2 linked regions of the Cricetulus griseus genome follow. The protein of the gene in region 1 interacts with the protein of each later gene in a pairwise test. Links are inferred from orthologs where the notes say so. Each region holds a gene or a part of one and is shown on either strand. Other genes may lie near its edges.

Region 1 (3,660 bases):
GGTGGGAGGAAAAAGGGGGGTGTAGGCATATGGTTACTGGTAATGATTAAAAACCAAGTTCCTCCAAAGCTCCAAATTCTTGCCAAAAAGAGGCTCTGTGACAGTTGAGAGTGAGCCTCACAAGAGCTAGGCTTCTTTGTGTGTGTAGCTGTACCAATGTTTACCTGAGACATGTTAACCTACAGATGTCACACACTCACTATATGACCACACAGGACACGTATCTCTGCTTTTGCCTGTGTGACAACACATATTTGAAAGGCTCAGAGTAACCCAATGTCATTTTGGGCATAACTACCTGGCTGTGACATGCATATAGCTATAGCCTTGGTGACTCCATGCTTCCTGTGTTTTCTAGAGCCTGAGGACTGAATAGGGGGGTACAGGCCTCGCTGTGTAACGCCCTGGGCGCTGGTGGCCCCACCTGCTCTTTTATTTTTCCCATCCACTGCCGGCTTCTCTCCATTCACACCTCATGCCGTCCCCTTTTCCCTCCCTAGGGGGAGGGGGGATCATGGATCCTAAGCCATAAAATAAATTTTATTCCAAAATAACAAAATAAATAATCTACTGTACACAATCTGAAAAGAAAGACACTCTAAGAGTTTGACAGGTGCTGCAGTCCTCCTGCTGGACTGAGGAGACCCAGGGTCTAACCCAGGCCTCTAAGAGGCTGGTGGAGGGAACTGTGGGGAGCCCTCACACACAGTACAAGAACGAACTGCTGGGAGGGGGGGTGATGAGGATGGGTGGGCAAACCGCAGCACTTGTTAAATTAAAAGAAACAGACTAGAAGCACAAAAAAAAAATGGGGATGGGGAGATCCAGTTTTCCAGGAGACCCCAGTATCAGGGCGAACAGAGCCATTTTCAACTGCTAGACCTTCTCAGGAAGTTCTTTCCCCCACATCCAAGCTGATCCCAGCCTGTTCATACCACTGGTGGCCGCCGATTGGAGAGAGAGAGGGAGAGTGTGTGTGTGTCTGTGTGTGTGTGTCTGTGTGTGTGTAGGGAGAGCCCCAGCAGGCTGTAGGCAAAGTCCATGCCCCTGAGCCGGGTGAGGGCGCACCTTGCACCCTCCTAGTGTCCTCTGGCCAGGCCCCTGCTTGTTATTGCTTGAAGCCCCATAGTCCTGTGCCCATGGGGCAGATGGGTGGCAGAAGGGCAGCAGAAGGATCCTTCTAGGGTGGTGACTAGAGTTCAAGGATGGAGAATATGGGGGTCTGAGTGAGCCAGAAGTCTGGGTCCTGGGCCTGAGACATCCCCACTCTCACTGCCGGCTGGCTTCGGCCTCCACTTTCACACTGCTCCTACGACCCTCCACCAGAGCGGGATGAGGTCCTGGGGCCGGGCATCGGTCCAGCAAGCCTTCCTCGAATTCTGTAGGAAAAAGGTGTGGGTTAGGAGACAAGGATGGAGGCTGAGCTGAAGAGCTAGCTGTTCTGAGTGAGGCCAGCACAGAAAAATGTGAAGATTGCTCCTGTTACTCAATTACAGCCTCCTGCCCACTGTGTGTGCACGGGGGTTCCATGACCAAGTGTATGCAGCTCCCCTCCTGTTTTGGTTGTGTGTAGCTCTCTGTCTCTGTGTGTCTCTCTCTTTCTCTGTCTCGCCCGCCTCTGCTCTTGCTGGAATTTCTGGTTCTGTCAGGAGCTGCGGGGGCGGCTTGGCTCTGACCTCTCCCCCTCCCCCTCCCCAGCCGCCCCCACTCATCTCTGGCCCCCCTCCCAGGCCCACCTACCCTACAAGTGCCCCCCCCCCGAGTTTTTGGTAGCCAAATCAGGGGAAACACAGGAAGCTAGACTCCCAGCTTCTCCCTCAAGAAAAGCCCCCCCTCCAGTCCCCGCCCCCACTCCCCCACCCACGCAGAGTTTAAAAATACCAAGCCAGGGTTGGTGGCTTTGTCTGCTGCGTCACTCTCAGCCCAGCGGCTGCCCGGCCCTCTGCCGGCCTACTCCTTTCCTATCCACACACAAAAGCGCCCAGCTCTGGGCTCCTTGGCTTCCAAGCTGGGGAACCCTATCCCCACAACTCCCCGCGACTCCACACCCCGGCATTAGGCAGTTCTAGCCAGGCTTCCCTTACTCCTGATTCTACTGTTCACCTTCACACCTCATTCTGTTCCCTGCTCCCCCATGTCAACGATCCCCACCTGGCCCAGACCCTACCCATCGTAAACAACCCAGCAGTAGCTTGCCCCTGTTCAAGGTCTGACTAGCTGGAGCGCCTGACAGTGGTATGGGATCCCTCTTCCTCCCCTCTGGTCCTACAAAAGAAGGACCCTGTGTGGGCCTGGGGTGTTTAGGGACAGCACTGCTGGCTGCCTCACCTGCGAGAGGCGGCTTCGCAGGCACACAGGGGCTGAGGCGGCCCACGCGATCATGGGAGACGAGGCGGGCGAGCCGCAGCCCCTCATCCATCAGTGTCTGCTGCAGGATGTGGCGGCTCCATAGCCCATGCGCTGGCAATGCCAGGGGCAGGTCAGCAGGGGGCGGCGTCAGCCTTGGGCACGACCCCACAGCTGTGGGCATGGGCACTGGTCAGGTCAGGGGGCTGCCGCCAACGGTACCCACCCTCAACCGACAAGTCATTCCCATAGGCTCTTCTGTCCCCATCCAGCCAGACCTCCCAGCCCTGCTCCAGGCAGTTGACTCCTGGCTCACTCCTGTAACCCACCCGCCCACTCCCACCTCCTCCCAAAGCAGACAGTAATGCACTCACCCTGCAAGTGGCCATCTAGGCTCTCCCCAGACAGACTGGCGCTGTCCTCCTCTAGGCTGGGGCGGTATGGGGGTGCATAGGACTCGGGGCCTGGGGGAGGCTGCTGGATTTCGGTATGACTCTGTTCCCCAACCTGTGGATGCACAAAATTGGGAAATGAGGACCTAGCAAAGCAGTGGTCAGGGTAGGCTATCCTGCCCTGTCCCATTAAGCCCCAAGCCACACCTCTTGTTTCAGTTTCTTCAGTGGTGGGCCTCCTAACTCTTCAGAGTGAAGCCTAGGAGAATAGGGAAAGCAGGGTTAGGGAGGGCTCCAGGATGCACAGGGAACACAATCTGGCCAGGAAAACTCCAAGAGGCTGGTTGGATAGGCATCTCCAGTCATTATTGTGGGGGGTTGGGAGTGAAGAGCAGGCCTCGGACAAGTTGACTTGGCAAGAGGAAGACATGCAGGTAGGTGGGAAGCAGGCCTGGAATTGCCTGAGCTGCAAGTGAGGAGATGTCCAACTCTGGCAGGATTCCAACCAAAGGTGGCCCAGGGAAGGGGGGGGGGTCTCACCTGGATCCCTTCAAGGAGGAAAGATAGGTGCTCTCTCGGGCTACTTGGCGGGACAATGAGAAGAGTTCTACCCTTCGAAGTAAAAGTGTGTTGTCCCTCATGCAGAACTGGGCAGCAGCCTCGTTGATGGTCAGCTGTGGCAAGAGGACAGCCAGTGTGAATGCCGATTCTCCTACTGTTTCACCCCTTCACCGCCAGGGGGGAGGGGGAGCCCATCCAAGGGATGCTAGCTTTAAATAAAACCCAGGAACATCCCGAAGGTTAGACGGGAGGGACTCATAGCGTCCCAACCAGGACCTCCTCTGTATCTGAGGGGACTTCAGCAGCTGGACAGTTGGGCTCACTGCCATCTCAGCTTGCCCTTCAGCTGGTGGAGGTACAA
Region 2 (3,334 bases), on another chromosome or scaffold:
AGGAACTGAAGCAGTTGAGAGCTTCCTACACAGAATCCAGTATTCAGGAACATCACCTTCCCCAAACAGTTGAAGGCACACAGACAAATAAAATAAAGTGCAGGCGCTGTGAGAAATATAACTGCAAGATCACTGTAATTGCAAGAGGAACACTTTTCCTTCCAAGTTGGGTGCAGAATTCAAATCCGGATGAACAAATGACCTATGTCATTTGTAATGAATGTGGGGAGCAGTGGTACCATAGCAACTGGGTGTGCTTGTAATTTGTAAATAATCCCTTCAGGGGTGTGTGTTTTATGTGTATAACATAACCCTTTTGTGTTCATTTTTTATAGAATCTTACTGCTATTTTGTCTTTGGGATTTTGGCTTGTGAAAGATCTTACTATGCAAGCACAGTTAGCCTCAGTCTCCTCAGAGCTGGAATTACAGATATACACTACCACACCTGGCTTGGTATACTGTTCTTACTACAGTCCTGGGAATAAGGAAAGAGAGTTGTTTGCCAAAGTGCAGGCCACCATTGTTAAAAAGTTGTTTGGGAAAAGTACAAGACTATCACGTTGTACTTGTGGCCATTCAGAGTAGCACAGTAGCTCTACACAGCCTGAGATCATGTTAGAGAGGCAGACTCTCTGGACTGATACTCTTTGAATCCTGATCTGCAACTTGGTAGAATCCCCAGGTCATCCTCTGATAAAGTTGCAGGCCTGTGGGTTTCAGAATGACTATACATTAGAGTTTTCTTGGGCGCATTGAAGTATACTGGTGCTGAGGGCCAAGCCTAGAATAATTCAGTCTGAACCTATGGCGTGGGACCCAGGCATCAACATTGCTCTGGTTATTTCTTAGTTTGCTTTAAGTTGTTGTTAGAGTTGAGAAATACCTGTAAATAGTCTCATTTGAGCCTTTCTATAGTTCTGAAGAAATGAATGATATTCTGGAGACTTACAGATGAGGAAAGAGGCCCAGAGATCTTCAGTGACTTAACCAGGTTACATAACTGTAGGTAGTCTGCCTCACACTGATCCCAAATTATATACCTTCCTTCTGAAGCAAGTGTGATGGCACATGTCTGTAATCCAGATGCTAGGGAGGATGAAGCAGGAAGGTTTATGTGAGTTCAGGGCCAATTTAGATTGTAAAGTCCCTGTCTCAAAAAAATAGTACAAGTACATTGTGGTGCTTCAAATACATAATCCTAGCATTGGAGATGCTGAGGCAGACTCCCATGGATGAAGCCAGCCTGGGTTTTGTAGAGAAAGAATGTCAAAACAAAAAGATGCACAGTCTGAATATGACTTCCTATTGACTATGCAAAAAGTGCACTCCTGGAAATGGGTGCTAAGAAAATAGTGTTTGGGGCCTCTTAAGTTTACATGACTAGAGTTTTATCCTTTTGTCCTTGATTTTCTCATTTTTACAAGTCTCTCTCTCCTTTTTTTTTTTTTTTTGATTTTTCGAGACAGGGTTTCTCTGTGTGTATCTCTGGCTATCCTGGCACTCGCTCTGGAGACCAGGCTGGCCTCGAATTTACAGAGATCCACCTGCCTCTGCCTCCTGAGTGCTGGGATTAAAGGCGTGCACCACCCCACCAACGCCCGGCACAAGTCTCTCTTAACCTATTAAAAGTTGCACTGTGAGTTAGAATTTGGATTAGAGCCTGCTTTCTTAGTTAAATGAGCTGTACATATTTCCCTTTGTGTGAGCTTGTCTTTATCTTCTTTATTATACATAGTTTATTGATGTCAGGAATCTTCATGTCTTCAAAGGCATGTGTGTTCACTCCCTCAGCCTTTGAATTTATCAACATTCATTTACTAACTAACTGAAGTGGAAATCACTTCTCTAAGGCCTTTGTTTACTGATTTATATGCTTAAACACAACAAGCCTCTTGTTTAATATTACTAATTTTTTTCCTTAAAAATGATATAATGTTATTTGGGGTTTTGATTCTTTAACATGTAAATCAATTTTATGCATAATCCACACAGAAGGTTACCATGTGGTTAGATATGCATTTTTTCTTTTGTTGTTTGACAGAGTATCTATTTTTATAAACCTGACTCCACTCTGTAGCCTAAGCTAGGCTCGAACTCCTTCTGGCCTCAACCTCTGGAGTGCTGTAATTTGGGGTATAAGACACCATTCATTGATTTTATCATATTAAAGAATTTATTTCTTAGTTCCATGTAAACTCACATGTTTTCATCAATTATAGTGCCCTAAATCCCCAGTATTCCTTCAGTGGAATCTATAGGCTTTTCTTTATGTATATTTTACCTCTTTATGACAGTTCCCCCAGTGGGTGCATAAAACTAGCAGATATTTCTATTTCCTGTGTTTTGAGGCTGTCAAGTCTGAATTATATTTTGTTTTATTTTCTTCATTTTGCATTCCAGTGGTGTTCATTATAATGTAATGTGTTAGTCCTTTAAACAGAAACTTACAAAGTCATCAACAACTCAAAAGTTTCACAAAGTGTGGTTTCATGTGACTTGGAATGATCTTAAAACCTAGATGGTGGTTGTGCAAGAGTGCACACAGCACATGAAAACCATGTTTAATTTGTTCAAGTCAGTGTTGGTATTTGGGTTTTCTATGTATCTGCATATAAGTACTAATATTGAGATTTTGTAATCTACATTTACCAAAAATAAAAGTACTTGAACTGGAAAAATCTCTCATTCTCCAAGATTTTTTTTTAAATATGTGCGGTCTTTCTCATTTCCCATAAGCTTTGTCAGTTAGTTTTGCAACTAGGGAAATGGTGATGTGTGTTTTATTCTTTTGGTCAGTGAGACAGTTACATTTTCTGAGTACAGATAATTCTTTCACATTGTAGCTCATCTCAGAGATAGAAAGAAAGGGAGGGAGGAGTGAGTTTGTTTGTTTGTTTGTTTGTTTGTTATAGGGTTTCTTTGTGTAGCCTTTGCTGTCCTGGAACTAGCTTTGTAGGCTGGCCTTGAACTGACAGAGATCTGCCTGCCTCTGCCTCCTGAGTGCTGGATTAAAGGCTTGCAAGAAGTGTTTCTTTTTCTTTTCTTTTTTATTTTGGTTTTTTTCGAGACAGGGTTTCTCTGTGGCTTTGGACTGTCCTGGAACTAGCTCTTGTAGACCAGGCTGGGCTCAAACTCACAGAGATCCACCTGTTTCTGCCTCCTGAGTGCTGGGACTAAAGGCGTGCGCCACCATCGCCCAGCAAGAAGTGTTTCTTTACAGTTGCTGGTGGGGTTGATTCTCTTATAGGAACAAAGAGCAACTCTACAAACTCCAAGATGAGAAGGTACCTGATTATAAGGGACAGGGATGTGAATGAGAGACAGCGTGAAAG

Evidence for each region.
Region 2: the proteins of Nab2 (region 1) and Tceanc interact in binary tests that used the Homo sapiens proteins (3 or more experiments, as listed by UniProt). The two-hybrid records come from large-scale screens. The link is inferred for Cricetulus griseus from reciprocal best matches to the Homo sapiens genes NAB2 and TCEANC.

What each region holds. Positions count from the first base shown.
Region 1 is NW_023276806.1:130,081,990-130,085,649, reverse strand, and holds the end of Nab2 (NGFI-A-binding protein 2), read right to left. Parts: intron 3,413-3,660; coding exon 3,279-3,412; intron 2,998-3,278; coding exon 2,946-2,997; intron 2,854-2,945; coding exon 2,721-2,853; intron 2,521-2,720; coding exon 2,329-2,520; intron 1,380-2,328; coding exon 1,270-1,379; 3' UTR 520-1,269; downstream 1-519. UniProt on the Homo sapiens protein: Acts as a transcriptional repressor for zinc finger transcription factors EGR1 and EGR2. Isoform 2 lacks repression ability.
Region 2 is NC_048604.1:101,283,213-101,286,546, reverse strand, and holds the end of Tceanc (transcription elongation factor A N-terminal and central domain-containing protein), read left to right. Parts: coding exon 1-263; 3' UTR 264-2,682; downstream 2,683-3,334.